Linked DNA regions of Callithrix jacchus. The protein of the gene in region 1 interacts with the protein of each later gene in a pairwise test. Links are inferred from orthologs where the notes say so. Each region holds a gene or a part of one and is shown in the gene's direction. Other genes may lie near its edges.

Evidence for each region.
Region 2: the proteins of ARHGEF2 (region 1) and RPP25L interact in binary tests that used the Homo sapiens proteins (3 or more experiments, as listed by UniProt). The two-hybrid records come from large-scale screens. The link is inferred for Callithrix jacchus from reciprocal best matches to the Homo sapiens genes ARHGEF2 and RPP25L.

Annotation. Positions count from the first base shown.
Region 1 is NC_133519.1:16,374,044-16,390,318, reverse strand, and holds the start of ARHGEF2 (rho guanine nucleotide exchange factor 2), read left to right. Parts: upstream 1-6,459; 5' UTR 6,460-6,689; intron 6,690-16,275. UniProt on the Homo sapiens protein: Activates Rho-GTPases by promoting the exchange of GDP for GTP.
Region 2 is NC_133502.1:141,470,624-141,486,381, reverse strand, and holds RPP25L (ribonuclease P protein subunit p25-like protein), read left to right. Parts: upstream 1-7,187; 5' UTR 7,188-7,234; exon of another isoform or gene 7,235-7,473; intron 7,474-7,952; 5' UTR 7,953-7,983; coding exon 7,984-8,460; 3' UTR 8,461-8,783; downstream 8,784-15,758. Other genes in the region: DCTN3 (dynactin subunit 3), read left to right, coding at 475-559, 1,254-1,340, 3,109-3,192, 4,465-4,523, 5,133-5,192, 5,360-5,449. UniProt on the Homo sapiens protein: May be a component of ribonuclease P or MRP.

The DNA of each region.
Region 1 (16,275 bases):
AAGCTCAGTTCTGGCCTTGCTGTAGGGACTGTGGGTCCTGTTCCCAGGGAGATATCTGCCCTTTGGAATCTTTGGCTTCTACCCCTTATTTTCCTTGCCAGGCAGCTCCTCTTCACAGCTGGAGAAGACAGGAAGGGAAAGATGATCGGCAGAGGAGCAGCTATTCCCATGCCCTTAGACCGCATCTGATTTATTGACTGAGTGTTCTTGAAAAGAACCTGGCCAGTCCTGGGATGTCCAATCTGCATCAAGCTTTTCTTGAGCTTTAATTTTACTGTTTTTTTTTTTTTGAGAAGAAATCTCGCTCTGTTACCCAGGCTGCAGTGCAATGTTGTGATCTCTGCTCACTGCAACCTCCACCTCCCAAGTTCAAGCGATTCTCCTGCCTCAGCCTCCCGAATGGCTAGGATTACAGGCACCCACCTCTACGCCCAGCTAATTTTTTTTGTATTTTTAGTAGAGATGGGGTTTCATCATGTTGGCCAGGCTGGTCTCAAACTCCTGACCTCAGTGATCCACCCACCTTGGCCTTCCTTTTTTTTGTTTTTGAGAGGGAGTCTTGCTCTGTTACCCAGGCTGGCGTGTAGTGGCATGATCTCAGCTCACTGCAACCACCACCTCCTGGGTTCAAGTGATTCTCCTGCCTCAGCCTCCTGAGTAGCTGGGATTACAGGCACCCACCACCACACCCAGCTAATTTTTGTATTTTGGTAGAGATGGGGTTTTGCTATGTAGGTCAAGCTGGTTTCGAACTCCTGCCCTCAAATAATCCGCCTGCCTCAGCCTCCCAAAGTGCGGGGATTAAAGGCGTTAGCCGCCACATCCAGCCCCTTTTTTGTTTTTTTAATTTTTAACTTTTTGAGAAGGAGTCTTGCTCTGTTCCTCAGGCTAGAGTACAGTGGTGCTATCCCAGCTGACTGAAACCTCCACCTCCTTGGTTCAAGCAATGTTCCTGCCTCTGCTTCCTGAGTAGCTTGGATTACAGGCACACACCACCACACCTAGCTAATTTTTTAATTTTTAGTATAGACAGGGTTTCACCATGTTGGCCATGCTGGTCTTGAACTCCTGACAAGTGATCCTCCTGCCTCAGCCTCCCAAAGTGCTGGGATTACAGGCATGAGCCACCGCACCTGGCCTGAATTTACTCTCAATGCCTCTGTTCTTTGAACTCTGGCAGGGAAGAAGTGCCTGGATCCCTTGAGTTTGACTCTAAGTGTGACCTATGGAACGGCAGTGACTTTTGCTGAAGCAACAGTGGGGAGAAGCCACTCTGAGCTGACTCTGTCCAACCCAGGAATGCCGTGGTCTGAGAACAGCCTCCCAGGCAGGAGGGAAACCCAACAAACACAGGCTTTGTTCCTGCTACCGAGTTGCCCAGTTTAGATTCTGCTTCCCCGGCTCCCCTGCCCAACTGGTTTAACCTTTCCCTAGCCCAGCAGTCGGAGCCTCCAGGCCCCAGGAGGATGAAAAGAACATGGAGACAACGGGAGGCTCCAAATGGAGTAGCCCTCTGCCAGCTTACATCCCTCTTTCGGGGGCTGCAGCTTGGACATCCCAGGACTGGCCAGGTTAGAGGCAAGGAAGATGTACTTGCTTTTGTTCATTGTGTTCCTGGTAGAGACCCTGGGACTTGCTCAGGAGAATGGGGAGGAAGGGGCAATGAGTCAGAGGCCTGGGGTTGAGAACAGATGTGGGGAAGGGAAAGGGAGCCGGTCTGATACACATCATTTTGCTCTCTAGGACTACGGAGTGTTAGTCTCTGAAGGAGGAAGTGCTATTTTCCATCTGTGTAGTCTCCAAGGAAAATATAATGAGTTAACCTATAGGGGGAGAGGTTCTTGCTCAGAGGATAGGGCAAACTTCATAACTCTGGAAGGTAATACAGGTAATTCCTTGACTTCCAATAGGGTTATCAGGACATAACCCTGTTGTAAATTGAAAAATGTCTTAAGTTGAAAATGCATTTAAAACACCTAACATACCAAACATCATAACTTTGCCCATTCTACCTTAAACATACTCTGGGCCGGGCACAGTGGCTCACGCCTGTAATCCCAGCATTTTGGGAGGCCAAGGCTGGTGGATCACGAGGTCAAGAGATCGAGACCATCCTGGTCAACATGGTGAAAGCCCGTCTCTACTAAAAATACAAAAAATTAGCTGGGCATGGTGGCGCATGCCTGTAATCCCAGCTACTCAGGAGGCTGAGGCAGGAGAATTGCCTGAACCCAGGAGGTGGAGGTTGCAGTGAGCCGAGATCGCGCCATTGCACTCCAGCCTGGGTAACAAGAGTGAAACTCCGTCTCAAAAAAAAAAACATACTCTGGACACTTACATTCGCCTACAGTTGGGCAAAGTCATCTAACACTAAGCCTATTTTATTTGTATTTATTTATTTTTTGAGATGGAGTCTCACTCTGTCACCTAGGCAGGAGTGCAGTGGCACAGTCTCGGCTCACTGCAACCTCCACCTCCCAGGTTCAAGTGATTCTCATGCCTCAGCCTCCCAAAGTAGCTGGGATTACAGATCCCCACCACCATGCTCAGCTAATTTTTATATTAGTAGAGTGGGGTTCTCCATATTGGCCAGGCGGGGTCTCAAACTCCTAAGCTCAAGTGATCCTCCCAAAGTGCTGGGATTACAGGCGTGGGCCACAAAGCCTATTTTATAATAAAGAGTTTGGCTGGGCACAGTGGCTCGTGCCTGTAATCTCAGCACTTCGGGAGGCTGAGGTGAGCAGATCATGAGATCAAGAGACTGAGACCATCCTGGCCAACATGATGAAACCCCATCTCTGCTGAAAAAAAGAAAAAATACAAAAATTAGCTGGGTGTGTTGGTGCATGCCTATAGTCCCAGCTACTTGGGAGGCTGAGGCAGGAGAATCGCTGGAACACAGGAGGCGGAGGTTGCAGTGTATCGAAATCACGCCACGGCACTCCAGCCTGGCGACAGAGCGAGACTGTCTCAAAAAGTAAAATAAAGTGTTGAATATCTCATGGAATTTATTGACTACTGTACTGAAAGTAAAAGAAACAATGGTTTTATGGTACTTGGAATAGGGTTTCTACTGAATGTGTGTGGCTCTCACACTTGTGAAGTAAAAAAAAAAATCTTAAACCATCGTAAGTCGGGGACTGTCTGTAAGATTTCTTCCTTAATCTGAACTCTTCCCAAAAGCTGGGGTGTCTTTATTGTACTTTCCCTTACAAAACTCAGCACTTTGTGTCCTAGCCCTTGTCATGGAGAGGGCGACTAGGAGGGAAACCCAGGCCTGACACACGTGACAAGAGAAGCATTGTAAAGGCAGTTGGTGTCACAGGCACCTTGAAAAAAGGCCAAAGCTAGATACCTCATCTCCTAAGAGATCAACTTTCTTGGAGTCAGGATGGAATGTGAACCTCCCTTAAGTAGTGGTGTTGGAGAATAAAAGAGCCTCTAAAATCTATAGACAGTCTTAGCTGGAATCGTTGGCTTTAGGATTGAGCCCTCTTAACTTCTTGAGGTAATTTAATAGGAGGATGAGTGGCAGACAACACTCCTCCACTCTGACTGAAAACCACCCTAGAGAGGCATGGACCTTGATCTCAGGATTGTGTGCAGACCTGTGAGGGGAGAGGAAAGTAAGCAGTGATCCCACATCCTTCCTGGAGGCTGGGTACCAAACTGAGGCTCCTCCCTAAAAGGCAATACAGATAGGTCAGCCGCCAGCCTGTTTCAGGTGCCCCCACCCCTGGAGACCAGCCCTCCAGCCCTCCCTCATTGTGCAGACTTTCAGCTGGTGTCTGCTTACGCACACACCCTGCCCCAGTACCAGGAGGAGCCAGGTACCTTGATTTCCGCCCCCTTCCTGTAATCAGCTTTGACACTCGAAGAAAGTAAATGGGAAACAGGTAAAAGAATTTCTACAAAGTGGCAGGGTGTGGTGGCTCTCACTTATAATCCCAACACTTTAGGAGGCCGAGGCAGGCAGATCAGGATGTGAGGAGTTCGAGACCACCCAGACCAACATGGTGAAACCCCGTCTCTACTAAAAATACAAAAATTAGCTGACTGTGGTGGTGCATGCCTGTAGTCCCAGCTACTCAGGAGGCTAAGGCAGGAAAATTGCATGAACCTGGGAGGCAGAGGTTGCAGTGAGCTGAGATTGTGCCACTGTACTCCAGCCTGGGCGACAGAGTGAGATTCCATCTCAAAAAAAAAAAAAAAAAAAAAAATCTACCAAGCTGGAAGTAATGGAGTGATTCAGTGAAAGGGTGAGAAGTTACCAAGGTGTAGTCTCTTGAAAGAGCAGCTGAGGGTGAGTAGCAGCATATGCCATGGAGGCAGGAGTACTGGGTCCCAGCCCCAACTCCACCATTCACTGACTGTATGGCCTTAGGTAAATCATGCCCCCTTCTCAGGAGGCTGAGGCAGGAGGACTGCTTGAGCCAGGAGTTCAAGGCTTTAGTGAGCCATGATCATGCCACAGCACTCCAGCCTGGGTGACAGAGTGAGACCCTATCTCAACAGAAAAAAAAAAATTTTTTTTTTCGAGACAGAGTCTCGCTCTGTCACTCTGTCCTAGGCTGGAGTGCAGTGGCACAATTTTGGCTCACTGCAACCTCTGCCTCCTGCATTCAAGAGATTCTTCTGCCTCAGCTTCCCAAGTAGCTGGGACTATAGGCACATGCCACCATGCCTGGCTAATTTTTGTATTTTTAGTAGAGAGGGGGTTTCACTATATTGGCCAGTCCAGTCTCAAACTCCTGACCTCGTGATTTGCCTGCCTTGGCCTCCCAGTGCTGGGATTACAGGCGTGAGCCACTGTGCCTGGCCAAAAATTATACAGACACACACACACACACACACACACACACACAACATGTTATTTATATATTATATATATAAATTATATATAGACACATAATAGCTTTCCATCTTGGAGCCTGTTTCCTCATCTGGACAAACACAAAATTGTTTAATTAGAGGATTTTTGAGGACCCCTCACCAGTATGATAGGGCGGGCATCACCCCTGTATTCTTATGAAGTGAGGAACTTGAGGAACAGCCATTGTCACTTTCTCAGTGTTGGGGTGGGGCCCAGCCAGGTGGGGAAGGGCACACAGTTCTGCCTCTGGCAGCAGAATTTTCAAGCAAGGATAGACCATAGATTGCCTAATTTAATCCTCTCATTTAATAGGTCAGGAAAGACGCAGGTTGAAGCGGCTTGTCCAAGGTTGCCCAGCCAGTGGCAGCTAGCATATTTATTTATTATGGACCCAGCATTTATGTTCCACTTTTGGACTTGGTTTGCACGTCTCATTTAACATCTGCATTTTACAGATGAGGAAATGAGGCTACATAGGGGACTCAGGGCCCTGTAACTAGTGAGTTGGCAGACCCAGCCATCTTCCAACTCCAACTTGCCCTTTCTACCAGACCACAGGAGGTGAGGAGGGCTCCCAGTTACCTGAGGAAGTCCGACTTCCGCCCCAGCTGTCCTCTGCCCCAGGGAAAGCGGAGAAGGTGAGTCAGCCCCTGCCCCGCCCCAGAAGCTGTTATCTGGGAAGAGAGTGGAGGAGCCAGTCAATATCCCGCTGGTATCCACAACAAGCCATGAGCCCTGGGTATGCTGAGTTGCTTGGTCACTTCGGTTCCTGGTGCTGACGCTAGGGCCCTTCTCAGTGCAGCTGCCTTGTAACGCTCCACCCTGTACTTTCATCACAAAAAAAAATACAATCTTTCCTCCATTGCCGTAACCTGCCTCTTAAAGGGACCGACAATCAGGGTTTTTTGTTTGTTTGTTTTGAGATGGAGTCTCACTCCGTTGCCCAGGCTTGAGTACAGTGGTGTGACCCTGGCTTGCTATAAACTGTGCATCCCACGTTCAATTGATTCTCCTGCCTCAGCCTCCCCATTAGCTGGGATTACAGGTGTGCACCACCACGCCAGGCTAATTTTTGTATTTTTAGTTGAGACGGGTTTCACCATGTTGGCCAGGCTAGTCTCTGACTCCTGACCTCGTTATCCCTCCTCGGCCTCCCAAAGTGCTGGGAGTATAGGCATGAGCCACGGAGCCTGGTGGACCATCAGTTTTGGAGCTGGATGAAGAACCCCCCCACTGCCCCGCTGAGGACCCTGCTGTTAAGTAGGTTTCCAGTGGCAGCTGTTTCTTTCCCTGAGATGTCTGCTTTCTCCCCTCCCCAGTTTCTCCCTGACCCTCCTGGAGGGAGGGTGAATGTTCCCTGGGCTGTCAGGTTCCTACATACTCTCTCCTCAGGGTGACCCCAGCATGGCTTCTTATACCTGTTTCCACACAAGTCTAAATTCTATGTGGTCACTCTGTGTTCAGGAAATGCTGAGGACAGAGGGACCCAGGAGTCCCTGGGATCAGTGGTGGCACTGAAAGGGTTAAGGGCCTGGGCACAGCACTGTTTAGGGTGTTTGAAGTGGGGCGGGGAAGGGAAGGGCTATAGTGGTTGAAGAGGCAGCTGGTCTGGACTGGACTGAGTCCCCTCTTTCTCCTATGCAAACTTCTGGACCATGAGCAGCTCCCTTAAAAGGACCAAGAGAGAGGTGCCCCCAACTAAGGTGCTGGACTGGGTTTTTAAGGGGGCCACCTGAAACAGGACTTTGTCCCGCACTAAAGTCACCAACTGAGGACAGAAGCAGGTCCCCCATCTTTGGGATATCTCCCAGGTCTGGTGAGTTTCCCTCTTCCCTTCCTGAGTCCTTACCCTCAGACCCTCTCTTGCCCCACCCGTCTGGCGTAGCACCCAGAACACATGCCAGGGAACTGGCAGGAGGTTGGTCTTGACCCTTTTCTTCCCTGTCCCCCACAGACGAAGGGCTATTCTGGGTCCCAAGCCCCTGTTGGACTAAGCATACAGCTACAGGTCCAGCAGAAGGGAAGAGGGCAGGGTCCCTAAGTTCAGTTTACTAGCCAATTAAAAAAAAAAAGGGGGTCATACTTGGAAGCCCAGATCAGCAAAATTCCTGACCAGCTTATGAAACTAGTACATCAACGACACGGGGATGATTTAGGGGGAGCGTCTGAGATGCCTGCAGCTGGCTTAGTGGGGCGGGGTGCGGTTACATTAGAGTTCTGCAGATGCTCTGAAATTCCAGAACTAAGTACAGTGTCTCTCAGGAGACAACCCGGAAGCTGATGGACAAATGGCTTTTGCCCATACTGGCCTCTGCATACAGTGTCTCTCAGGAGACAACCCGGAAGCTGATGGACAAATGGCTTTTGCCCATACTGGCCTCTGCCCCACTGAGGGATAGTAGCCAGGTCTCGCCATTGTGTTTGTGTTTGTGCAAAGACCTTTCTGGGTCCTCTTCTCTGTGCCTAATACCTAGAAGGTGCTAAAGTAATCTTTGCTGAATGAATGGATCCTCTGTATCTTTTACTTGCCTTTCATTTTTGGAATTTTACTACTCTCTGGCAGTGGACAGGAAGGTGAGAGAAAGAGTTCCAGGACACCTGCGTTCAGCCAAGTCAGGCAGATGGGTGAAGCAGGAGGGTATCAGAGACTCGGGTGCTCCTATCCTGGAATGGGGTATCTAGGGAGCAGGTGGGAAGGCACTGTATCTCCCGGGACCTTCTTTATCTGAGGTGAAGAGAAGCTTTGCTTTACCTTCTTTGCAGGGCACTGTTGGATTAATGGTTTACTTTCTACAGGAGAAGAAATGTTAGGTTAAATTTTGAACCATCAAAGAGTTTTTGTGACCCTGTGCTCCCCCCACCCCTGCCCGTGCCCAGGAGATCTGGAGGAGAGCCCAGTACGACATGCCATTTGCCCTCTCTCTTCCTCCTCAGTCTTTCTTATCCAGTTCTCTTGGGTCTTCTCCAACATCGGCCACCTTGGTAGATTTAGGATCCCACAGCCAAACTCAGAAAGCTGCTCAGGCTGCAAAAGGGCCAGCCAGCATTGCCTCCAGGCCACAGCGCCTGGCTGTGTGGTTGCTCCAGCAGTTCCTCCCCGATGTTCAGTGTTTGCTGGCAGCAAACACAACCAGCAAACACCGTCTGTTCCCCATCACCTCGTTCAGAGGCCTAAGCTGACGAAAGGATACATTTCACTTCTTTGGGACCCTTGTCTTATTTCTCTTGGAAGCTGCTTCCTTTCTTTGGCTGAGGTCAGGGAGGTAGGAATAAGGTGGGTAAAAACAGTGTTGCCAGATTTCTTTCAAAGCTAGCCACTTGGCCTGGCGTGGTGGCTCATGCCTGTAATCCCCGCACTTTGGGAGGCTAAGGTGAGCGGATCACCTGAGGTCAGGAGTTCAAGACCAGCCTGGGAAACATGGTGAAAACCCCTTCTCTACAAAAATACAAAAATTAGCTGGGCACGATGGTGGGTGCCTGTAATTTCAACTACTCAGAAGGCTGAGGCAGGAAAGTTGCTTGAACCTGGGAAGCAGAGGTTGCAGTGAGCCAAGATAGCGCCATTGCACTCCAGCCCAGGTGACAGAGTGAGACTCTATCTTGAAAGAAAAAAAAAAAGAAAAGCTTGCCACTTGATAGGCCAGGCGCAGTGGCTCAGGTCTGTAATCCCAGAACTTTGGGAGACCAAGATGGTTGAATTGCTTCAGGTCAGGAGTTCAAGACCAGCCTGGCCAACACGGAGCAACCCCATCTCTACTAAAATTATAAAAATTAACCAGGCATGGTGGTGCATGCCTGTAATCCCAGCTACTCAGGAGGCTGAGGCAGGAGAATCACTTGTATCTGGGAGGCAGTGGCCGAGATTGTGCCACTGTACTCCAGCTTGGGTGACACAGGGAGACTGTCTTAAAAAAAAAAAAAAAAAGCTAGCCACTTGCTCTCTTTGGGAGCTTGTTTTCTGGTTTCAGAAAGGAATTTAGGCTCCATAATGTGATGGATCAGCTTTGAAAATTCATCTCCACCTCCTAGCAGCTGTGTAACTTCCAGCCAGTTACTGAAGGTCTCTGTGAGCCCTCTTTTTTTTTTTTTTCTTCTTTTTTATTGAAACAGAGTCTCACTCTGTCACCCAGGCTGGAGTGTAGTGGCACAATCTCAGCTCACTGCAACCTCCACCTCCCGGGTTCAAGCGATTCTTCTGCCTCAGCCTCCCAAGTAGCTGGGATTACAGACGCACCACCACCTATGCAGCCTGTTTCTTCATGTGTAAAACAGGGATAATAATGTCTATTTCAAGAAATATTTTGAGGATGGCACAAAATGGATGTTGACACTCATTTTTATCTCTCTCCATAGGCCTCAGATGACATTTAGGGAGTAGGTATGTTGGCTGGGTACAGTGGCTCATGCCTGCAATCCCAGGACTGTGGGAGGCCGAGGCAGGTGGATCACCAGAAGTCAGGAGTATGAGACCAGCCTGACCAACATGGTGAAACCCCGTCTCTACTAAAAATACAAAAATTAGCTGGGCGTGGTGGCAAGCGCCTGTAATCCCAGCTACTTGGGAGGCTGAGGCAGAAGAATTGCTTGAACCTGGGAGGTGGAGATTGCAGTGAGCCAAGATCACGCCATTGCACTCCAGCCTGGGCAACAGAGCAAGACTCCATCTCAAAAAAACAAAAAACAACAACAAAAAAAACCAGGACGTAGGTATATTGGGGTCTCAATGTCTCAGTGTCCCTTCTTCCTGAAAAGGTTACAGAATGTCTGGTGTGTAGTGAGCCTTCACGTCCCTCTTTTATCTTTTTTCTCCTCCTTCCTAAGATTTTGAGACCCAGTTGCTCTAGATCAGGAGTTGACAAACTTTTTTTGTAAGGATCCAGATAACAAATATTTTAGGCCAAGCATGGTAGCATATGCCTGTAATCCCAGCACTTTTGGGAGGCCAAGATGAGCATTTCACTTGTGCTCAGGAGTTTGAGACCAGCATGGGCATCATAGTGAGACCTCGTTTCTACAAAAAATACAAAAATTATCCCAGTGTGATGGCATGCGCCTGTAGTCCCAGCTACTCCAAAAGCTGAGGTGGGAGGCTTGCTTGAGCCTGGAAAGTCAAGGCTGCAGGCATGGTGGCTCATGCCTGTAATCCCAGCACAGCACTTTGGGAGGCCGAGGCAGGTGGATCACCTGAGGCCAGGAGTTTGAGACCAACCTGGCCAACATGGTGAAACCCCGTCTCTACTAAAAAATACTAAAATTAGCTAGGAGTGGTGGTGCGTGCCTTTAGTCCCAGCTACTCTGAAGGCTGGGGCAAGAGAATCTCTTGAATCTGGGAGGCGGAGGTTGCAGTGAACTGAGATCATGCCATTGCACTCCAGCCTAGGCAACAAAAGTGAAACTCCACCTCAAAAAAAAAAAAAAATATATATATATATATATATATAATACACATATATATATATTAGGATCCCAGACTCAGGATATATCTATACATCAGGCTTTGTGGGCTCTCTTTTGCAACTATCAACTTTGTTGATATGCAAAAACAGCCATAGACAATATGTAAATGACTGAGCATGGCTGCATTCCAAAAATACTTTATTTATGGGGACTGAAATTTGAATTTCATATAATTTTGTGTCTCAAAGTATTCTTTTTTTTTTTCACCTATTAAAAAAAGATAGCAGGACAGATTTGTCCCAGAGGCTAGAGTTTGCTAACCCTTGCTTTAAATTTCCAGAGGCCATTCTATCCCTTTCTTCTCCTTGAAGAGGACATCTATATCAGGGCTCAACAGGGTCCCAAAGAACAAAAAAGCTCCCATTTCTTCTTGCTCTTCTTGTTCTGGTTGCATACATGCTTTCCCATCAGGAGCTGTTTATGAGAACTGTTCCCATCATAGCTACGTTAGTGTCACCCATGGGTTATTCTCTCTCTAAGAGAAAACGGTGGGTCACCATCATATAATGCCTATTTCTGCTTCTATCTTGGGTCTCCTTTTTTCTTTTTCTTTCCTTCTTTTTTTTTCTTTTTTCAGACAGTGTCTCACTCTATCGCCAGCCTGGAGTGCAGTGGTGCCATCTTGGCTCACTGCAACCTCCACATCCTGGGTTCAAGTGATTCTCCTGCCTCGGCCTCCCAAGTAGCTGGGATTATAGGTGTGCGCCACCGCACCCAGCTAAGTTTTGTATTTTTAGTAGAGACGGGGTTTCACCATGTTGACCAGGATGGTCTCAATCTCTTGACCTCGTGATCCACCCGCCTCATCCTCCCAAAGTGCTGGAATTACAGGCATGAGCCACCAAGCCCGGCTGAGCCTCTTTCTTTCTAGCTCTCTGTTTCAACATGCCCTGTTGTCTCTATGACCCCTAAGTAACAATAATAAAATAATAATAGTATTTATTGAGCACCTAATATGTACCAAAGACAGATGTAAGGGGCACTCGTTGCATTGCATACATTATCATCAAGTCTTTCAACATCCTTACAAAGTAAGTTTTGGCCAGGCGAGGTGGTTTATGCCTGTAATCCTAGCACTGTGGGAGGCCAAGACAGGCAGATCAGTTGAGCCCGGGAGTTTGAGACCAGCCTGGTCAATGTGCTAGGATTACAGGCGTGAGCCACCGTGCCTGGCTAATTTTGTCTTTTTAGTAAAGACAGGGTTTCACCACATTGGTCAGACTGGTCTCAAACTTCTGACCTCAGGTGATCCACTCACCTCACCCTCCCAAACTGCTGGGATTATAGGCATGAGCCACTGCACCCAACCTCTCATTCTCATTTTATACATGAGTCTGAGGGTCAAAAACACTGGCCGGGCTGGGCTCAGGGGCTCATATCTCTAATCCCAACACTTAGGGAGGCCAAGACAAAAGGATCACTTGAGGCCAGGAGTTCAAGACCAACCTGGGCAACACAGTGAGACCCCCATCTCTAAAAAAATTTTTTTTTTTAGATGGAGTTTCACTCTTGTTGCCCAGGCTGGAGTGCAGTAGCACAGTTTTGGCTCACTGCAGCCTCTGCCTCTCAGGTTCAAGCTATTCTCCTGCCTCAGCTTCCCTAGTAGCTGGGATTACAGGCACCCACCACTATGCCTGGCTAATTTCTGTATTTTTAGTAGAGACAGAGTTTCACCATATTGGCCAGGCTGGTCTCAAAATCCTGACCTCATGATTTACCCATCTGAGCCTCCCAAAGTGCTCGATTACTGGCATGAGCCACTGTGCCTAGCCCCAAAATTTTTTTGAACTTAGAGCGTGGTGGTACATACATGTAGTCCCATCTACTGGATGCTAAAGCAGGAGGATCGCTTGACCCAGGAGTTTGAGACTACAGTGAGCTCTGATCAAGACTGCACTCCAGGTTTGGCCACAGAGCCAGACCCTGGGTCCAAAAAAGAAAAAAAGATAAGTTACCAAGGTTGTGTGGCATAGCTCCAGACACATCCAAATGAAGTGCTGCATGTGGCAGTCTGCCTTTCTTAAAAAAAAAAAAAAAAAAGTGGCATAGCTAGGCTGGGTGCAGTGGCTCATGCCTGTAATCCTAGCACTTTGGGAGGTTGAGGTGGGTGAATCACCTGAGTTCAGGAGTTCTAGACCAGCCCTGCCAACATGGCAAAAACCCGTCTCTAGTAGAAATACAAAAATTAGCCAGGCGTGATGGCAGGCGCCTGTAATCCCAGCTACTTGGGAGGCTGAGGCAGGAGAATTGCTTTAACCTAGGAGGTGGAGGTTGCAATGAGACAGGATCGTGCCACTGCACTCCAGCCTCAGTTACAGAGTGAGACTGTCTTGAAGAAAAAAAAGAAAGGGGCAGAGCTAGCAAATCTGACCGACTTCAAAGCTGTAGCGCCCTAAAGAAATTACAGTCTCAGAGTTTTGAGTAACAGATGTCTCTCTCTCTATTAAAATACATATTCCCATCCAGCTTCCAGTAGAATGCCTAAGAAATCTTTGATGACTAGTGCAATCTGTGAAGGTTACACACTCGGAGGAAGGGACAGGACACGCTGATGGTTTGCAGTGGTGGGAAGACGATTCCATCCAGAGGCAGGATGACAAGTGAAATGACTTCTTAGAGCCCCTTTCTGCTTTCCCACCCCCCACCTCCCCGTCTCAAGCATCTGATCCCAGACCTATTTCAGAATCTCCTATCTCTCTGCTCAGCGGAAGCAGTGATATGACATAATGTGATCTCATTCTAGAGCTAAATAAAACCATTGTGTGAGACCCAGCCCTGGCCTTTCCCATGCACCATTTCCTGAGCTCAGAAGGCTGAGGGAAAATGGGAGGGGGGCTGGGAGAGTTAAGCTAATGGAAGGAAAAGCAACAGGATGACTGGAGTCCCAGTCTGAATTTCAGATGGTGGAGGAGGGAATACTGCTAGGAGGGAGTTGAGGAACCCTTACTAAACCTCAACCCTCTGAGGGACAGAATAAAAGTATTGGCATCAGCCGGGCACAGTGGCTCACGCCTGTAATCCCAGCACTTTGGGAGGCCAAGGCGGGTGGATCATGAGGGCGAGAGATCAAGACCATCCTGGTCAACATGGTGAAACCCCGTCTCTACTAAAAATACAAAAAAATTAGCTGGGCATGGTGGCAAGTGCCTGTAATCCCAGCTACCCAGGAGGCTGAGGCAGGAGAATTGCCTGAACCCAGGAGGCGGAGGTTGCGGTGAGCCGAGATCACGCCATTGCACTCCAGCCTGGGTAACAAGAGCAAAACTCCGTCTCAAAAAAAAAAAAAAAAAAAAAAACTGGGCCGGGCACGGTGGCTCAAGCCTGTAATCCTAGCACTTTGGGAGGCCGAGGCAGGTGGATCACGAGGTCAAGAGATCGAGACCATCCTGGTCAACAAGGTGAAACCCCGTCTCTACTAAAAATATAAAAAATTAGCTGGGCATGGTGGTGTGTGCCTGTAATCCCAGCTACTCAGGAGGCTGAGGCAGGAGAATTGCCTGAACCCAGGAGGCGGAGGTTGGGGTGAGCCAAGATCGAGCCATTGCACTCCAGCCTGGGTAATGAGAGGGAAACTACGTCTCAAAAAAAAAAATATTGGCATCATGGCATGAGGCAGGGTGAGTGGAGATGAGGATGTAAGGGAGAAACTGCCAGACAGATTTCATTTTCACAGAGGGCAGAGACCATGAATGAAATGACAGCAATGCTGGAAAAAGGGTAGATCTTGAGAAGAGGTCGGACTCCAGTTGGTCTGAGTGGGAGGAAGAAGGATGAGTTACACAAAGATCATAAGAGCTGAGGTGTCTGTCAGTGGGGCCGGGGTGACAGGACCCTATCTCCAGCAGGAATACCTGCAGGGACTGAAGAAAACTAGAGGTCTCCAGTTCACTGCATTTCCTTCATCTTGCCAAATTAAACACTGCAGGCCATTCGTAGTGGCTCACAGCTATAATTCTAGCACTTTGGGAGGCCGAGGCAGGAGGATCGCTTGGGCCCAGGAGTTTGAGACCAGCCTTGGCAACATAGTGAGACTTCATCTCTGTAAAAAATTTAAAAACAGGTGCAGTGGCTCACACCTGTAATCCCAGCACTTTGGGAGGCTGAGGTGGATGAATCACCTGAAGTCAGGAGTTCAAGTCTAGCCTGGCCAACATAGTGAAACCCTGTCTCTACTAAAAATACAAATATTAGCCGGGTGTGGTAGTGCATGCCTGTAGTCCCGGCTACTCTGGAGGCTGAGGCTGGAGAATTTCTTGAACCCGGGAGGTGGAGGTTGCAGTGAGCTGAGATCACACCATTGCACTCCAGCCTGGGCAATAAGAGCAAAACTCCACCTAAATCAAAACAAAACAAACATTTAAAAATTAGCTGGAGGCCAGGCGCAGTGGCTCATGCCTATAATCCCAGCACTTTGGGAGGCCAAGGCAGGTGGATTGCCTGAGGTCAGGAGTTCGAGACCAGTCTGGTCAACATGGTGAAACCTCGTCTCTACTAAAAATACAAAAAAAAATTAGCCAGGTGTGGTGGCGTGTGCCTGTAATCTCAGCTACTTGGGAGGCTGAGGCAGGGGAATTGCTTAAACCAGGGAAGTGGAGGTTGCAGTGAGCCGAGATCATGCCACTGCACTCCAGCCTGGGCAAAAGAGCAAAACTCTGTCTCAAAAAAAAAAATTTAGGCCGGGCATGGTGGCTCACACCTGTAATCCTAGCACTTTGGGAGGCCGAGGTGGGTGGATCACCTGATGTCAGGAGTTCAAGACCAGCCTGGCCATCATGGTGAAACCCCATCTTTATAAAAAAAAAAAAATTAGCTGGATGTGGTGGCATGCAACTGCAGTCCTACCAATTCAGGAGGCTAATGTGGGAGGACTGTTTGATCCTGAGAGGTGGAGGCTGCTGTAAGCCTTGAAGCTTGAGGGTGACAGAGGAGAGAGGTCCTCTCTCTCAAAAAAAAAAAAAAAAAATTAACCCTGCAGGCACAGGCTGAAACAAGGCTATCAGGTAGAGGTTGGGTACAGGGCATACAGTTCAAACCAACTTTCTGCTTCTGGGAGGTCCCTGAATTTCAGACCTCCCATGATCCACCCAGGTGTCCCTGCCTCCCCCTCACTGCCTCTCAGTTTCCGTCCTATTTCCAGCCCCCATTCCCCTTTTCCTAGTATATCTCCAGTTCCTACTCTTTTTTCCACCCAAGCTTTTCATAATATTTTTGTCAACCTCCCTCTGCCTCCAAATCTCAGCTTTGGAGGCCACTGATTGGGAGGGACCCTGCCGTGGCCCTCAGCTCTGACCTGCTTCCTGTAGATCTGCTCATCCTGTGTGTAGCCAGCACAAGGCCTGTTTGTAGGCAAGAAGGGAGAGGGTCTCTCCTGGCGGCTGGCTGAGGGCTTCCCCGTCCATTGCTCCCAGACGCGATGAGCACGGATGGGCACAGGACCTGGCCACTCTCCCAGGCTTCTCCCTTTCTTCCCTTAGACCCTCCCAGCGGGGGAGCAGCTGCCATCTGCAGAGGACTGAGTACCTGCCTCCCTCCCGTCTCCGTGGTAAATAGGCACACAGCCACCCCAGGCACAGCACTTTCTTCCCAGCAGCTCTGGCTGGGGTGAAGGCAGTGGACAGATTGCAATGAGGGAGGAAAGTAGATTGAAGGGACAACTTTCCAATAACCTGGACTTTCCCGGGGTGGTTAAGACAACCTGGAGGAAGTCTGACAGCCCCACAGTAAGCCTGGAAAGAGGGAAGGTCTGGGTCCCAGCTTCCTGATCCTTCTGGGCACTCATGACATCTTAGTAGCTGGAAGTGTTCCCAGGAGAAGGGGAGCCTGGGAGACTCATTCTAGCAGAAGGTCTAGAGAGACATGGCCTAGGAGTGAAGTGTACAGAGGTATGCAGTAAATGTTATTGCCCTTCCTGCCCTTCCTGCCCCTGGTACTCTGGGACTTGGCAC
Region 2 (15,758 bases), on another chromosome or scaffold:
CTGTACTCCTCCTCTCCCCTAACCCAGTTTTCTTCTGTATTCCCTAATTCAGTGATTTCACCATCATTGGGATCCCAATTGTCTTGGACTCTTACATCTCCCACACTAAAGTTATTTTGGAGGGGATAGGACTAGATGTAGGCCAGCCAGTCTAGAGGTCATGAAGGCTTGAATGAGAATGCTTGCATTTCTCATGCCCAAACCCAGGGCTTAGGAACTAGAAAATATATTGTGTATACAATATATTCCAAAAACTCTAAAATAGTTCATTATCTCCCCCATATTTGAATCTCCCCAAGGAGTACATGACTCTCTCTCTCCACTTTAAGGATTCCTAGAAGGTGGGGCTGCATTTCCTTTAGTATTAGAGAAGGGAAGCCAACCTAGAGAATCTGGGAGAAAAAGGGTTCTTTACCTCTTCCAAGCCTTGAGCCAGGTAGTATATCTTGCAATTAACTGCCACTTCCCTTACAGGTGGCTGACAGCCTGGTCAAGGTGCAGGTGGCTTTGGGGAACATTGCCAGCAAGAGGGAAAGGGTGAAGATTCTGTACAAAAAGAGTAAGTGCTTCCATGATATGCCTACCTGCCCAACATCCCATCCCTAGGCTTCCTGGGACCTGGCCCTGCCCCTTCAGTTCAATAGGTCACTGGAAAAGCCCTTTGGGGATAGAAAGATTACGGGGACACTTACCTGCACCCAATTTAATTGGTAAATTGAGGTGTGCTTTTCTACCTTGTGGATAAACCTCAAGCCCATGACTGTGTCCTTAGTTATGAAATAAGTGCTCTGCCTGAAAGCTTCTCTTGCTGAAGGAGGGTAAACAGGGTTTGGGATTTCCCAGGCAAGGTTAAGAGGCAGGAAACAAATTAGACACTGAGAGCCTGGTTATGTCAGAGCTAGTAACCTGCTTAGTAACTAGAAATTAGACAAAGCTCTGACTTGTCTTGGTGGCATCTAGGAGAAAAGAGGCCTTGGTGAGGATAGGTCAGTGAGAATGCTGAGGGCCCAGAGTGTTGGTGGCAATTGTGTTTTCAGCTCTGAAGCTTGAGGTCAGAAGAGACCTCAAGAGAAGAGAGTGGGGAGATAGAGAAGTGGGGATAGGGAGCCTGGTGGAGCCCTTCTCATGTGGCACTGTTGGGTATCAGCTCTTCATTGAAGGCTCTCCTCAAGGCTGACCACCTGACAAACATCCTACATAAGACAGCTCTACTCCCCAACCCTATTCCATTTTCCACCTCGCTACTTTTCTAGTTGAAGATATGATCAAGTACCTGGATCCTGAGTACATCGACCGCATTGCCATACCTGATGCCTCTAAGCTGCAATTCATCTTAGCAGGTAATGCTGGGCTACATGTGTACCTGCATCTGAGGATGTGGGTCATTGGGTAGGTTAAGCACAGAGATGGCCTCCCCATCCAGTCTTCTGATGGATACAACCCCTGGATGCTGCTTTCTGGAATTGTGGCCTGGTTTTGTGTTGAGAATCCTACGGATCCTCTAGTAGACATTGAGTACAGTATGCCTCTGGAACAGCTGCAGGCCATGGTGTCAGCCACAGTGGGAGCTAGTCCAATGTTCTATCACTAGCCTGCCTCTTGGATTTTCCTTCAGAACCTTCCTCACTTTTGCTCACTAGACAGATGAGCTTCTAGGAAAGGGTAGGGGCAGAGAGCATTGCTGTGAAAGAAAAGAGAGAATATTGGCATGAATTTCAACATCTTTCTTTCATGTGAGAAAGTGCTGCAATTTCAGAGTTCTAGGTAGGAACTATTGCCTTAGCAATGTCTGCTATCAGTCAGCCACTCTATAAGCTAGGATTTTCTGAGCTTCATTATTCATCCAAAAGATGTATAATGAATGATCATCTACTCTGATCCAGGTTCTATCCTAGGTGAGGAAGCATACAGTGGTTAACCAGAAAGTCCCTGCCCTCATGAGCACAGCCCATGCTAGGGGAGACAGAGTCCCTCCTGCTTCAGGGACCTGAGCTTTTAACCCAAATGTGAGATTAGTCTCCCAAAAGACTGATCAGTGCAATGCAGCATTGAGGACTGGATAAGATTGGGCAGCTCCTGCTAAGAGGGCTGTCAGAGTTCCCAAAAGGCTCTTGATCAATTGTCATGGCTTAAGCACCAAGTACAGATCTTCTACTGCACTGACTCTTGAGTCCAGCCTCTCCATGTCTCCCTGTGGCACTGCCTCAGGAACTATACATCCAGTGCCACACGAACGGTTGCACAGTCTCCTAAATCATACTCTTAACACTAATCTTTCCCTTCCTGCATGTGGTTCAGTCTCATTGTCACAAAAACATGTTTCCAACATGTTACTTTGCCTACTTTGGAATCTCCTGCCTTGCTAGGATAAAGTCCTAATTCCATAGTCTGCCATTCAAAGCCTTCCTCTGCCGGGTCTACCCTCCCATCTAACTCTGTTTCCTGTGTTCTCCCTGCTCCAGTTCAGCTAACTGAATTCTTTCTCCTCTACTAATTGACAAGTATTCCTGCCTCTAAGCATTTGCACATAACAGTCTCCCTCTTGAATACCTTTCCCACTCTATGGATTTCAGTGCATTGAAACCCCCTGTGCATACAGGGCCTACCCCAGATCCTGCTTTTCTCACTGGACTCTCCCATTACTGTCCCAGCTCTCCTTCGGCATATAATTCTCTATGCTCTGAGAGCCACTGAGCAGAACCTGCCTGGTGTAGTCTGCCACATATCTCCTTTTTTAGATCTTCCCAGGGACCTCTGGGTGTGGGGATCCAAGTCTGAAGTACTTTGTATCCTGTAGCCTAGGAGGTATTCCCTGAGTTTGTTGATAGGAGACTAGAAGAAGAGGCCTTGAAGTTAAACCTTGGAGAAAGGTGGGATTTGGAGTAATTGAGAGGCTCCTTAGGCTCAAATGGGTCAGACCTGAGGCATCCAGGAAAGTTGGGGGCAGAATGAAAATGTGCATCTAGAGAGGAGGGCAGCAGGCAGAGTCACTGCAGAAAGCTCTAGGACCTAGCTATCTCCCTTGCCAGGTCCTCAGGCCCTTACATGGGCTGAGTAGCAATGCCCAGATTTGCTTCACTGCAACTGTCTTGTCCATTTTTGCTTTAGAGGAGCAGTTTATCCTCTCCCAGGTTTCGCTCCTGGAGCAGGTGAACGCCTTGGTGCCCATGCTGGACAGTGCTCACATCAAAGGTATCTCTCCGGGGCTGCAGCATCACTACTGTGGTTGGGAAGGTGGGTGGATGGATGGGCAAGACTTTCTTGTGTTTCAGGTTGTGTGGATTCAGATTGGGTCTGTTCCTTATCTCTTTCTTTTTTTTTTTTTTTTTTTTTTTGAGACAGTCTCAATCTGTCACCCAGGCTGGAGTGCAGTGGCACAATCTTGGCTCACCACAACCTCTGCCTCCTGGTTCAAATGAACTTCCCACCTCAGCCTCCCAAGTAGCTAGGATTACAGGTGTGTGCCACTACACCCAGCTATTTTTAGAGATGGAGTTTCACCATGTTGGCCAGGCTGGTATTGAACTGCTGGCCCCATGTGATCCACCCACCTCGGCCTCCCAGAGTACTGGGATTACAGGCGTGAGCTACTGTGCCTGGCTAGTTCCTTATCTTTATTCTTACCCTGGGGGTACTTGCCACATCCACTGGATTAAAATTACCAGAGTAGAGAGCCCAGTTTTAGGACTTTAGGCAATTGGGGCCTGAGAACACTAGCCTAAGCTCTAGCAGTCCCCAACTTTGGGGAGTCCTTCTGCCTTCTACCCACCCCCAAGCATCTCTCTTTCAAGGTGCTGCAGAACCCAGATTTTACTATCAGAGTCTCTGCCAGGTGCATGAATGTATGTGAGTTCTTTCTGTGCTGCACTGCTGAGAGCAGTCCCTGGGCCTGGACTTTGACAAGCAGACAGTGGCTTTAATTGAATCCAGATATCCATCTTGTCTGTCTCTGGAGGTATTTTTCCCAGCTCCCCCTCCTTACCTCTGATCAGCTGCCCACTGAGTATCTGACAGCCTTAAGCTTTGAGCCCAGCATGGTAGCTGAGCCTCAGGGTGTTGGATTCCAGCTTAGGGACCTGGCATCCATCTTCAGGCTTCCTATTTCCTAGGCTAGGCAGACCTGGCCCCGCTGGGCTGAAAGCAAAAGGACAATTCCCATGATAGCCAAAGCTCTCTTTACCTGTTCCTGCTTATAGCACTGGGGTGGGGTAGGGGACAACACTGGGAACCCCAAGGTTTTTTCTTCTCCTCGGGACATGTATCTTCCCCTCCCCTATGGGTCCTGGAGTAAGACTGGAGTGGGCAGGGAGCCCCACCGCCACCTCCAGCTGCAGTGGTCGATGAAGTCTGGCGTTTGTTTAGCTTCTCCACTCAATACTCTAATCCTGCCAAAGACCTAATAGACTATTGAGCAGTCCCAGGGGAGGGCACAAGCATCATCCAGCAGTATTCGTTGTTTTACAGCTGTTCCTGAGCATGCCGCTCGCCTGCAGCACTTGGCCCAGATCCACATTCAGCAGCAGGTATGGGAGGGTAGAGGACTAGAAGGGAAGATAGAGGTGGCACAGCCCCTTGTCCCCACTCTTGCCACCTGGGGAAGCAAGTTCAGGCCCTTCTGATGTACGCTCAGAGGAAACTTTGGGGTTTATCCTTTATCTTCCATATGTCCCAGTGAAGTAAAGGGACTTGCCTAGGTTCATGTCCAAACCTGCCTCCCAGAGCAGGGCTTTATTGAGACACCATAAGGTTGAGGCTGGGAGGTACCCAAGAATTCCTGGGGATGGTATGTCCTTGACTATGAGTGGAGGAGCTCTTTTTTCACTATTCCCAGGCCCTAGTGTAAAGTTCAAAGAGAGTTCAAAAATAAGGGCACAAGAAGAGGAGACATACACTAGGGGGAATGTTTACTTAATGTATGGCCACTCCCTTTTCGATCAGTCTTTGAACTGCTGTTAGGGCACCCATCCTGGAGCCTGAAAGTTCTCCCATAGCCATTTGTTCCTTTGGCTTTGGGATTCAGCATCATCTTTTTTAGGCTCTATGGGGAGTGGGAGTCCTTGATGAGGCAGGAAGTGTATTGTAAGATAAGGGCTTTACCCAGCTCCTTCCTATGCTACACTTTGGCCCTACAGGACCAGTGTGTGGAGATCACTGAGGAGTCCAAGGCTCTCCTGGAGGAATACAATAAGACTGTATCCTTTCTGCTCAACTAGGACCTTGGGTGTTGTCCCCAAGCCCTGTCCTTCTGTCCCACCGCTAGCTCTCTCTCATCCCATCCCACCCACCTGTATTTGCCTTCTCCCCACTTTCCATGCACTTCCTCACTCAGACGCCTATTCTCTCCTTGACCTACAACCAGACAATGCTTCTCTCCAAGCAATTCGTGCAGTGGGATGAACTACTTTGCCAGCTAGAGGCCACCAAGCAAGTGAAGCCAGCAGAGGAGTGACAGCTGCTCCCCATCCCAGGGTGGGCCTGGGCAGTCAGGCTCCAGGGCCCTATGCCAACCCACCTTTGTTACAAGGCAATGGACGCTTTGTATTTATTGGATCTGAGGCCCACCTCTCTGTACTCAGGTGGGGCTCTAAAGTTAGAGGTCAGGTTACCTGAAATTTCAAATTTGCAACGCCCACCCTCTCCCCCATCAGTGTTCTTATTCCAGTGAAAATAAACCATAGAGATGACTGGAGGAGTGTGCTGGCTTCCTGGTTTAGGTTGGGGGTCGGGGGAGGGGCAGAGGTGTCAGCCCTAATGGCTGGACTGGGAAGTAAACTCATCCTGGTCTGGCTTTCTGGCAGGTGTAGCACTCTCAAGATGAAGGCTCTCATTTGATGATGTGAATGGGATATTCCTTTATATATCCATTTAACCCACGTTTACTAAGAAGAGACCTCCAAATGTCAGATGATGGGAGTAGATGTGGCTAACCTAATCCCTGCCCTGCACTAGCTAGCAGTATACAGTAAAGGAAAAGGGCAGTCCTATCAGGTGGGCACAAAAGAAAAAGGGACTGAAGGGACCTGGTAGGTGATGTGCAGGGACTTTCAGAACCAAGGAAGCAGCATGTGCAAAAGCAGAGAAGAGCCTTTAAATTTCTCTCTTGGGAGCCTACCTGGTGCCACCAGCCGAGAAGGGCAGCCTAAGAGGTTTGGATGCAGGAAGCTTTGGTCCTGGGGAGGGGAAGTTGGGAAGTAGGGGTGCTGGGGCAAGCACGTTGAGAAACAGATTGGCCCCGCACTCCACCAAATGTTTGCTGCCCCCTTGTGGATTCACGGAGTGCTCTGGCTCCAGACCCTTTTTCCAATGGCCCGCTGACTGCCCCGCCTGCACGACCTCACCGGCACCTCAAATTCTGCGTGTGCAAACTGGTCTAAAACCCGGGAGACATCCTGGATCGGAATTCCCTACTTCTCCGTCCAAACAGTTGCCAACTCGAGACTGAACCTACCTACTAGTATCTCCCGACCTAATCTTTTTTTTCCATTCCTACTACTTTTTCTCTGGTTCGTTAGTTTAACAAATCATTTAACAAATATTTGAGCGCCGATCATACGCCAGACACCATACTAGGCTCCGTAGGCACCCCTGCCCTCTCAGCCCCCAGACTCCGCGGCCAGGTGTCGTCAGGGGCTGCGGCCTGATTTCCCCACCACTCCTCGGCTCTCTGCACAAGATCTGGTTCGACAAGCCGCTGGAAAACCCCCGTAATCCGCCAGCGCCCACAGGATGAGGCTGAAGCCCAGAAGTCGGTAATTAAGGCTCTCACCTCTGCAACAGCGGCCTGGGAACTAAACTCATCCTGGTCTGGCTTTCTGGCAGGTGTAGAGCTCTCAAGATGAGAGCTTTCAAGATGAGCTCCAAACTGAAGCTCCTGCTCGCACTCACTGTGAAACCCACTGCTCCCCTTTTGCTCAACAGGTAACGCCAGCCCTCCCCATCTTCTAAGAGCCAGATTCCTCTCCTTCAGACGCAGGACTTCTCTGACGGCTACTCCTTTCTACCGCAGGATATCTTCCTGCCTCCCTCCAGGGCGTTACAGTGGAGACTGCGCTAGTGTCCCAGCCCCACTGGGACTGCTCCGTAGCGGCCTTGCGGGTGGTTCCGTTTCCCGGCGGAGGCGCCTCGCGGCCGGACCCTCAGGCCCCGCCCCCTCGGGGCGTGCGCGGCCCCGCGGCCTTGGAGCTTCTGGGCTCGCGCGCCATCTTGGCTCCGGATCGGCAGTGAGGCGGCTTCGGTGAGAGCTAGAACCTGGCAGGCAGCGGGGCGCTCGGAAGTGGTGGGAGAGGGGACGCCTGCTGCTTGACCGCAGCGGCCGGCAGGACCCTGGAAACGACCAGGGCTGTCTTGGAATAGCCCGAGCAGCCTTCTGAGTCGAGCCTCTGCCCCTGAGTTTCTGAGTGACCTGGGTTGATATGGTTCGACCCTGGTAATCTCTGGGAGAGCGAAGTCAGTTCTGCTTGGGGGCAGCACTGGGTAAGGGTCCTTGGTTGTTTTCCGGGGGCCCTGGGGCGAAGTGCCTTGTCCCTGTCTTTGTAATCCCCCAAGTGACTAGCGCTCTCTATTGGTATTAGTCTGGGGTGAGGGTTCCAGGCCCTGTTCCAAGGAATCCAGGATAAGCGGGACTAGGCTCCAGTTCTGAAGAGTTTCGGATGAGGGGGCCTGGCGTTATCCCAAGAGCTCGGTGTTTGGGGAATTTGGTGTTGCCTCTGGGACTCCAGGATTGGAGGTGGGGGTGTTATGGCCCTTGTAGAGGACGGGGGTGTGGGGGCTACAGCCCCTTCCCAGAGTGAGGCAGGCATGGCCCTTGTCATGAGATGCTAAGGACCAGGGGATACGATCCTGTTTCTGGGAAGTCTGGAACGGGGAGCAGGGCCACATCCTGAAGGGAGGTAAGGGATGGTGGACAGTGACCTGGGCACATGGCCTAGCACTCATCTGATGCTTCCGTGCAGTGGGCAGCGAGAGTCACAAGACAGCAAACTGATGGAGCACTACCGGAAAGCTGGCTCTGTGGAACTCCCAGCACCGTCCCCAATGCCCCAGCTACCTCCTGATACCCTTGAGATGCGGGTCCGAGATGGCAGCAAAATTCGCAACCTGCTGGGGCTGGCGCTGGGTCGGTTGGAGGGCGGCAGTGCGCGGCATGTGGTGTTCTCAGGTTCCGGCAGGGCTGCAGGAAAAGCTGTCAGCTGTGCTGAGATTGTGAAGCGGCGGGTCCCAGGCCTACACCAGCTCACCAAGCTACGTTTTCTGCAGACCGAGGACAGCTGGGTCCCAACCTCACCTGACACAGGGCTAGACCCCCTCACAGTGCGCCGCCATGTGCCTGCAGTGTGGGTACTGCTCAGCAGGGACCCCTTGGACCCCAATGAGTGTGGCTACCAACCCCCAGGAGCACCCCCTGGCCTGGGTTCCATGCCCAGCTCCAGCTCTGGCCCTCGTACCCGAAGAAGGACTTGAGATACCCGATCCTGAAGACCTGCTCAGCCAGGCTGTTCTCCAGGCCTGAATGTCTGAGATGTGTGTCTTTTCTGAAAAACCCTGTGACTGCTAGACATCCCCATCAAGGCTCAGATCCACAGAGGTGGGCCCCCTTGTCCTGCTTCCCCTTCTCTCTGGTATGTGGGAAGGGACTGCTGTGAAGAGTGACAGGTGTGGAGCCTCTGCCAAGTTCTGCATTGCTAAAGAAGGGTTTACTCTGTCTTCTACCTACAGTGCATCTGAACTGCCTTCTGACAGAGGTCCAGGGAGGGATTTAGAAAATAAAGTTTCTACCTATTTGATGAGACTCTACTCAGCCTGCTATGTGGAGTGGGATTAAAGAAATGGGAGTCCCTGCCCTTAGCCCCCGGGAGCTGATTGGGTGAAGAAAGAGGAAGAGTAGGCTCAGGCTGATGCTGGGAGGATCTAGTGTAGATAAGAAGCCTCAGTCAGTACTGAATATAGTTAATTCCCTGGGTAGTTGTTTGTACCGTTTTTGGGCTGGTTTAAGAACACTGTCAGGTCAGACATTTCTCATCATCTGCAACATACAGTATAGTATAGTGGTTGTGAGCATGGACTCAGGCACCAGCCTGCCTGGGTTTCAGTCCTGGTCTGCCACTTAGCAAGTTACTACTCTGTGTGCCTTAGTGTTCTTATCCATAAAACAGGAATACAATACTGTTTATCGCATAGGGTTGTTACGAGGTTAGATAAAGAAATACGTGACATTTAGAAACCACCTTGGCGCATAATGCTATTAAATGTTAATTACTATTATGATTATTAATGACTTACCTATCCCAAATGCAACAACTATCTCACATGTCCTTCCCTCCAGCTTCCTTGCCCTGATCTCAACTGTGGAACTGGACTCCTGCTTTGAAGAGATAGAGGCCTTCTGAACTCCCTCATGTTCCATCTTCACCTCCAGACCTATCTGTATACACATTTATCCTTAACTCTGCTAGTTTGCAAACATGCTTTTTTCTATCTTAGAAACATATCTTTGGGTTGGGCACAGTGGCTGATGCTTGTAATCCTCCTGAGGCAGGAGGATTGCTTGATCCAGAAGTTGGAAACCAGCTTGGGCAACATAGTAGTGAGATCCTGTCTCTACAAAAACATCCAAAACTTAGCTGGGCATGGTGGTGTGCACCTTTAGTCCCAGCTACTTGGGAGGCTGAGGCAAGAGGATTGCTTGAGCCTGGGAGGTTGAGGCTGCAGTGAACCATGATTGTGCTACTGCACTTCAGCCCAGGCAACAGAGTGAGACCCTGTCTCAAAAACAGAAAACAGGCTGGGCGCAGTGGCTCATTCCTATAGTCCCAACATTGGGAGGCCGAGACCAGCCTGGCCAACTTAGTGAAACCTATCTTTACTAAAAATACAAAAGATTAGCTGGATGTGGTGATGTGCACCTGTAATCCCAGTTACTCGGGAGACCAAGGCAGAAGAATAGCTTGAACACAGGAGACAGAAGTTACAGTGAGCCAGGATCGCACCAGTGTACTCCAGCCTGGGTGGCAGAGCGAGACTCTGTCAAAAAAAACAAAACAAAAAATACTTCAATCCCACATCTCTCTTCAGGTATCATCCTTGCCTTTTTTCCCCTTTGCTGCTCCTTTTCTGCTTCACCTTGGCCTTAAACTCTCAGGTCAGGGGCATGAGGAGAGAGGTGAATGTTGCATCAGTAGCCGGGGGCCTATGGGAACTAGAGCTGGATTACGGGCAGTAGTGAACTCTGAAGAACTGAATCAGTTGGGTCTCCCATGGATCTTGAGATTTTCTCCAATGTGTCCAGCAGCCTGGGTGTCCAGTCATGAGGAAAGCAGAAGGTTGGGGCTCTTCTGGGCTCACATTGTAGTAGAGTGGGCCCAGCAATGTAAGGATTTTGAAATGATACTTAACTGAGACCAGGCAAGACGGATTGAGATGTTGGGAGAGGGAATTGGGGAACTGAAGGTCTTGATAAGGGCTTAGAGGAGGGGTGAGGTGACCACAGGGCCAGCAGGCAGTGGTCAAAACTTTAAATACTGCATCCTTTGCTTTCAAAGATAGGTCAGCTCTGAGTGATGTGGAGGACCCTGGGGGAGGGCAGGTGATGAGGATTCAGATGATATTAGAAGAGAAAATCTCAGTAGCTGCTGAGCCAGGCCTATCAAATGCCCAGGTTGTGAAGCATCTAATACACCCCTAAAGGCAATTATGGCTGCAGTGGCAGTGACTCAGGTGTCGCTATCAGCAACTGACTGACTTCCCCCATTCTCCTCGAAGCTAATTCAGGAATTTTATTCCCTCTCAGCTTCTGCATACTGTTTTTTCTTTGAACATCTTCACTTGTGTGTCTTCTGCCGTCAGCAGTTCTCTGAGTATCATGGGATTTCCAGAGCTTTGAGGCCAGGCAGGCTACCTTGCACACTACTGACCTTTAGCTGATGATCTCATCCCATCTACTGATGGCCAGGGTGGAGGGCCATGGAATAATCATGGTAATCTGTGCTGAGGTAGCATTGCAAGTTCTGGAGTCCCAGGAAGGGCATTTTCTCTCCCTCTTTGGTGGAAGGGGTGATAGATAGCAGGAAAAGAATGTGGAGTACAAAGAGTGTTGGTTTTTGTTGTTGTTGTTATTGTTGTAGTTTTTAATAGACTAGCAGGGACTTTAGCATGTTTATAGGCTCACAGACAGAAGAAGCCAGTAGGAAAAGAGATGATGAAGGATGCAGTAAATTGTGAATAACTCACAGTATGATGTTCCTGAGCAGGTAAAAGCGAATGGGACCCAGAAGCATGGTGGTAAGGCCTCCAAAGGGAAGAGGAGGGATAACTTCCTGTAACAAGAGGGATGGAGTTAGGACGGATATGTATGCAGATAGGTCTGGAGGTGAAGATGGGACATGAGGGAGTTCAGAAGGCCTCTATCTTCTCAAAACAGAAGTCCAGCTCTACAGCTGAGAGTGGGGCGAGGCAGCTGGAGGGAAGGATGCGTGAGATGGTTGTTGCAGTTGGGAGAAATGACTAGGGAGAGGTGCAGGAGGATGACCAGACAGGGGTAAAAGCCCAGTGTAGGCTGATAGGGTTGTTGGTCAGGGTGTGTGAGCTCTAGCAGTACCCACGGGATAGGTGAGGATTCAAAAAAAGCACAGTTACATTCTTCCAGACTGATTTTAAGATAGGCAGGAATGATGGAAGATTAATGAGGAGACTAGCAAGAGAGTACATGTAGTGAAGGACCAAGGCATCCAAACTGTGCTAGGAGGGAAGTGAGGGAAAGTGGACAGGGGACAGTGGCCTGGAGATCCCCATGAAGATGGGGTGGGGTGAGATGGACTATCCCAGGACAGGAATGCTATAGCTGTATGGGTTTCCTAGGCTGCTGTAACAAAGTGCTGTAAACTGGGAGGCTTAGAACAACAGAATTTATTGTCTCACAGTTCAGAGCTGGAAGTCTGAAATCAAGGTGTTAGCAGGGCCACACTCCCTCTGAAATCTGAGGGAGAATCCTTTCTTGCCTCGTCCTCGTGATTTGCCAGCATTCTTTGGCAAGCTTGACTTACAGGTGCATCATGCCAATCTTCACATGGCATATGCCTGTGTCTGCACCCCATCTTACCTTTTTGTGTGTCTTTGTGTCCAAATTTCTCTTTTTTGTAAGGACACCATTTAATACTGGATAAGGGCCTGCCCTAATGACTTCATTTTAACTTGGCTATCTCTATAAAGACCCTATTTCTAAATAAAGTCACATTCTAAGTTACTGGGGGTGAAGATATCAGTATTTGGTTTTGGCAGGGGGTGGGCAGTGGGAGTGGAGGGCACACCTAAAGAGTGGGAAGGTATTAATAAAATTGAGGGTTTTCAGAGCTGATAGGATTTGTGTCCATGAGAGTGGATAGCTGGAGGGCCTGGAGGAAGAGTCACTGAAGATGAAGCTGGTGAGTTGAGGCTGGGAAAGGTGAGGTGGGGAACATCCTGGTGGGCAATGGAGTCATCCAGGATGGAATGTATTGAGCATTCTCACTACCTGTCTTAGAGGTGGCATGTCTAGCCACCTCCTGTTTGTCCCCCTGAAATCGGGACATCAGAACACAATATGCCTGAAGGAGTTATGTGCCTCCCATATCCAAGCAGGCACCAAGTTCTGCCCATTTTGGCCTCTAGGTCTCCATCCCCAAAGCCTCTCTTGGTTTGTGCCACTCATCATCTCTTGGCAGTTTCCATACTGGTCTCCATGCTTCACTCCCCCCAGAGCTCTCCCCCAAGCCAAGCTGCTGGCTATTCCCTTTGTTTAGAATGCTTTTCCCCCAATACTTGCATGGTTCTCTCCCTCCCTCCTTTAAGTCTTTGATAAAATGTCACCTTCATGGGGTCTACTCTGGCCACTTCATTTAAAATTGTAGTCCAGCACTTTCAATGTTCCTTACCCTGCCTTTCCCCCTCCCCCAGTTTTTTTTAACCTCTATGATATGTACATCTTTAAAATAACACTTTTGTTTATTGTCGCCTCCTGATGAGAATGTAAGCTCCAAAAGGGCAAGGATCTTTGTTTCATTCCCTTATGTAACCTAAGGATCTTGAACATCACTTGGCATATAGTAGATGCTCAATAAATATTTAGCAAGTAAATGAATAAATATTGAGCCCCCCTAATGTGGGGCCATACTCAGATCTGACCTTGTCATTTCTCTATTCCCTTAGTCTCCATGCCAAGATTAGAGGACAGGATCCAAGTTCATTCACTAGGTGTTTTTAAAGGACCCCTTTGCTTGGCCTCTGCCCATGGCTTAGTCCATCTTTGGCCTTGGACCCTAGGCTCCAACTACACTCACCCTTCCCAAGTGTCATAAGATTTTCTGCCTCTGAACCTTTGTCCTTGTCATTCTATCTGCTTGGAATTCATCACGAATGTTCAAAGGACACTGGTGCACTGAGCACTCCCTTGGGGACTACCTCCCCTCTCCTCACTGTAATTGGCCCAGCTTTCACATTGATAGGTGATGTTCTGGCTACACTCACTTCTGACTTCAGCCACAAGGTGGCAGCATTTGCAAAGGGATAGCCCATTCCTTTCCAGGGTCTGTGCAGAAGGCCTCAAGAGTCCCAAGACACAGAGACTTGGAATTTGATCCTTAATGTGCTCAGTGACCCCTCAGTTATTTAAAAAACAGCTAATGATCATCCACAACGTGACAAATTTAGCCACTGGGCTCGGAACCTCCAAACCCACGAGGGCTATAACCACATATGTAATTTCCCTATGGAGGCCGGGCGCAGTAGCTCACACCTGTGATCCCAGCACTTTGGGAGGCCGAGGCCTGTTAATCATCTGAGATTAGGAGTTGGAGACCAGCCTGGCCAACATGGTGAAACCCCATCTCTACTAAAAATACAATCATTAGCTGGTCGTGGTGGCGCACCCTGGTAATCTCAGCTACTTGGGAGGCTGAAGCAGGAGAATGTCTTGAACCAGGGAGCTAGAGGTTGCAGTGAGCCAAGATAGAGCCACCGCACTCCAGCCTGGGTGATAGAGACTCTATCTGGAAAAAAAAAAAAAAAAAAGCCAGGTGCGGTGGCTCGTGCCTATTATCCCAGCACTTTGGGAGGCCGAGGCGGGTGGATCACGAGGTCAAGAGATTGAGACCATCCTGGTCACCAAGGTGAAACCCCGTCTCTACTATAAATACAAAAATTAGCTGGGCATGGTGGTGTGTGCCTGTAGTCCCAGCTACTCGGGAGGCTGAGGCAGGAGAATTGCTTGAACCCAGAAGACGGAGGTTGTGGTGAGCCAAGATCGTGCCATTGCACTCCAGTCTGGGTAACAACAGCGAAACTCCATCTCAAAAAAAACAAAAAAGTTTTCCTATGGTGTGACAAGTACACAGATTAGGGAAGTTTATTGCTGCAGGAGTTCAGACAGAGTCCCTATTCTAACCTTTAGGGACATGCAAAGCTTTAAAGAAAAGGAGGTGATACCTGTGTGGAATCTTGAATAGCTTAGGAGAGACGTGGGAATGACATTCCAGGTGAAGGGAAGGATAAGCCAAGACATAGAAGCAGCGTAGAAATGATCACTGGAGCATGAAATTCAAGGCAGAGAGTAAGGGATGAGGCTCAGAGGTGAGCGGGGTCAGACAGGGAGGCCTGCAAGCCTGGCCAAGGTGCTTGGACTTTATCTTGAGGGAGATGAAATGTCACTGAAGGCTTCAAGGTGAGAGTTCTGTGGAATATCAGACTGTGTTTAGAAAGAGAACTCTGGCTACAAAATGTGGAGAGTGGATTGCAGGTACAGGACAGGAAGAGCAGTGAAAAAGCTGCTGTAGGGATCCAGCTGGGAGACAGTGAGTCCAAAATTATAAGCAGAGCAGGCCCTAAAGAAGCTCCTCCCAGCCCACAAGGGCACTTAATGCCTGGCACTTTGAAAGGGTTCTTGGCCCTGGGAACTCTCTCCCTCACCATCTGAGCCACCTCAGCCCCTCTGTTCCGAGACTCCTGTTGTTGCTATCTCAGCTCCTCTGATTATTCTAGCTGGAACCATGGTCTTTGTCAGTTTCTATATGGAGGCCACTGTGTCCTATGTTCCTCTATGTTTGTGGCTTGTTAGATTCCAGCTTAGCCTACACCCCAGCCTCTCTCAGTGTGACCATTTCATGCACCCCAAGTTAGGAATGTGGCTGAAGCATCACCTCCACCATGGAGCCAAGATGAGCACTGCTCACCCCCCTGTCATCTCCTGCTACTCCTTACCTGAGGCCAGTGGCATGTCTGATGCTGAGGGAAGGGCATCCCCTGTAGTCAGAGAAGCATAACCTGAGGAAAGGCCTAGAGGTAGGAAAATGAAAAGATGTTTGGGGAGCAGGGGCTGGCATTGTTAGCAGGGTCTGGCAGGGACAAATCAAGGCCTACAAAACCAGACATGGGGCCATAACCATATACTACATATAAAGAAAGAGATACCAAAGCCAGGTTTTGAGAAGGAACTGAGAGTCACCTTCATTCATAGACTCATGAATATGCACAGAAACCTGTTGAATTATGCAGATAGAAAGGATGTAAATGTGCATGCAAATTTGGCACTGCCCTGCCAGTTGCTATGGAAACCAGAGAATAGCAAAGTAGGGGCCCAACACCCTGGGGAGACCAGGCTAGAGAGACTGAGGCCAGGAAACCCCTCTGTCCCTCACCCACTTTTCCCACTCCTAATGTTTTGATCTCTTTCTTTGCCTCACCCTGTCGTTGCTTCCTTCTGCTTTGTCCTCTGTCCATCTCTCTGCCTCTCT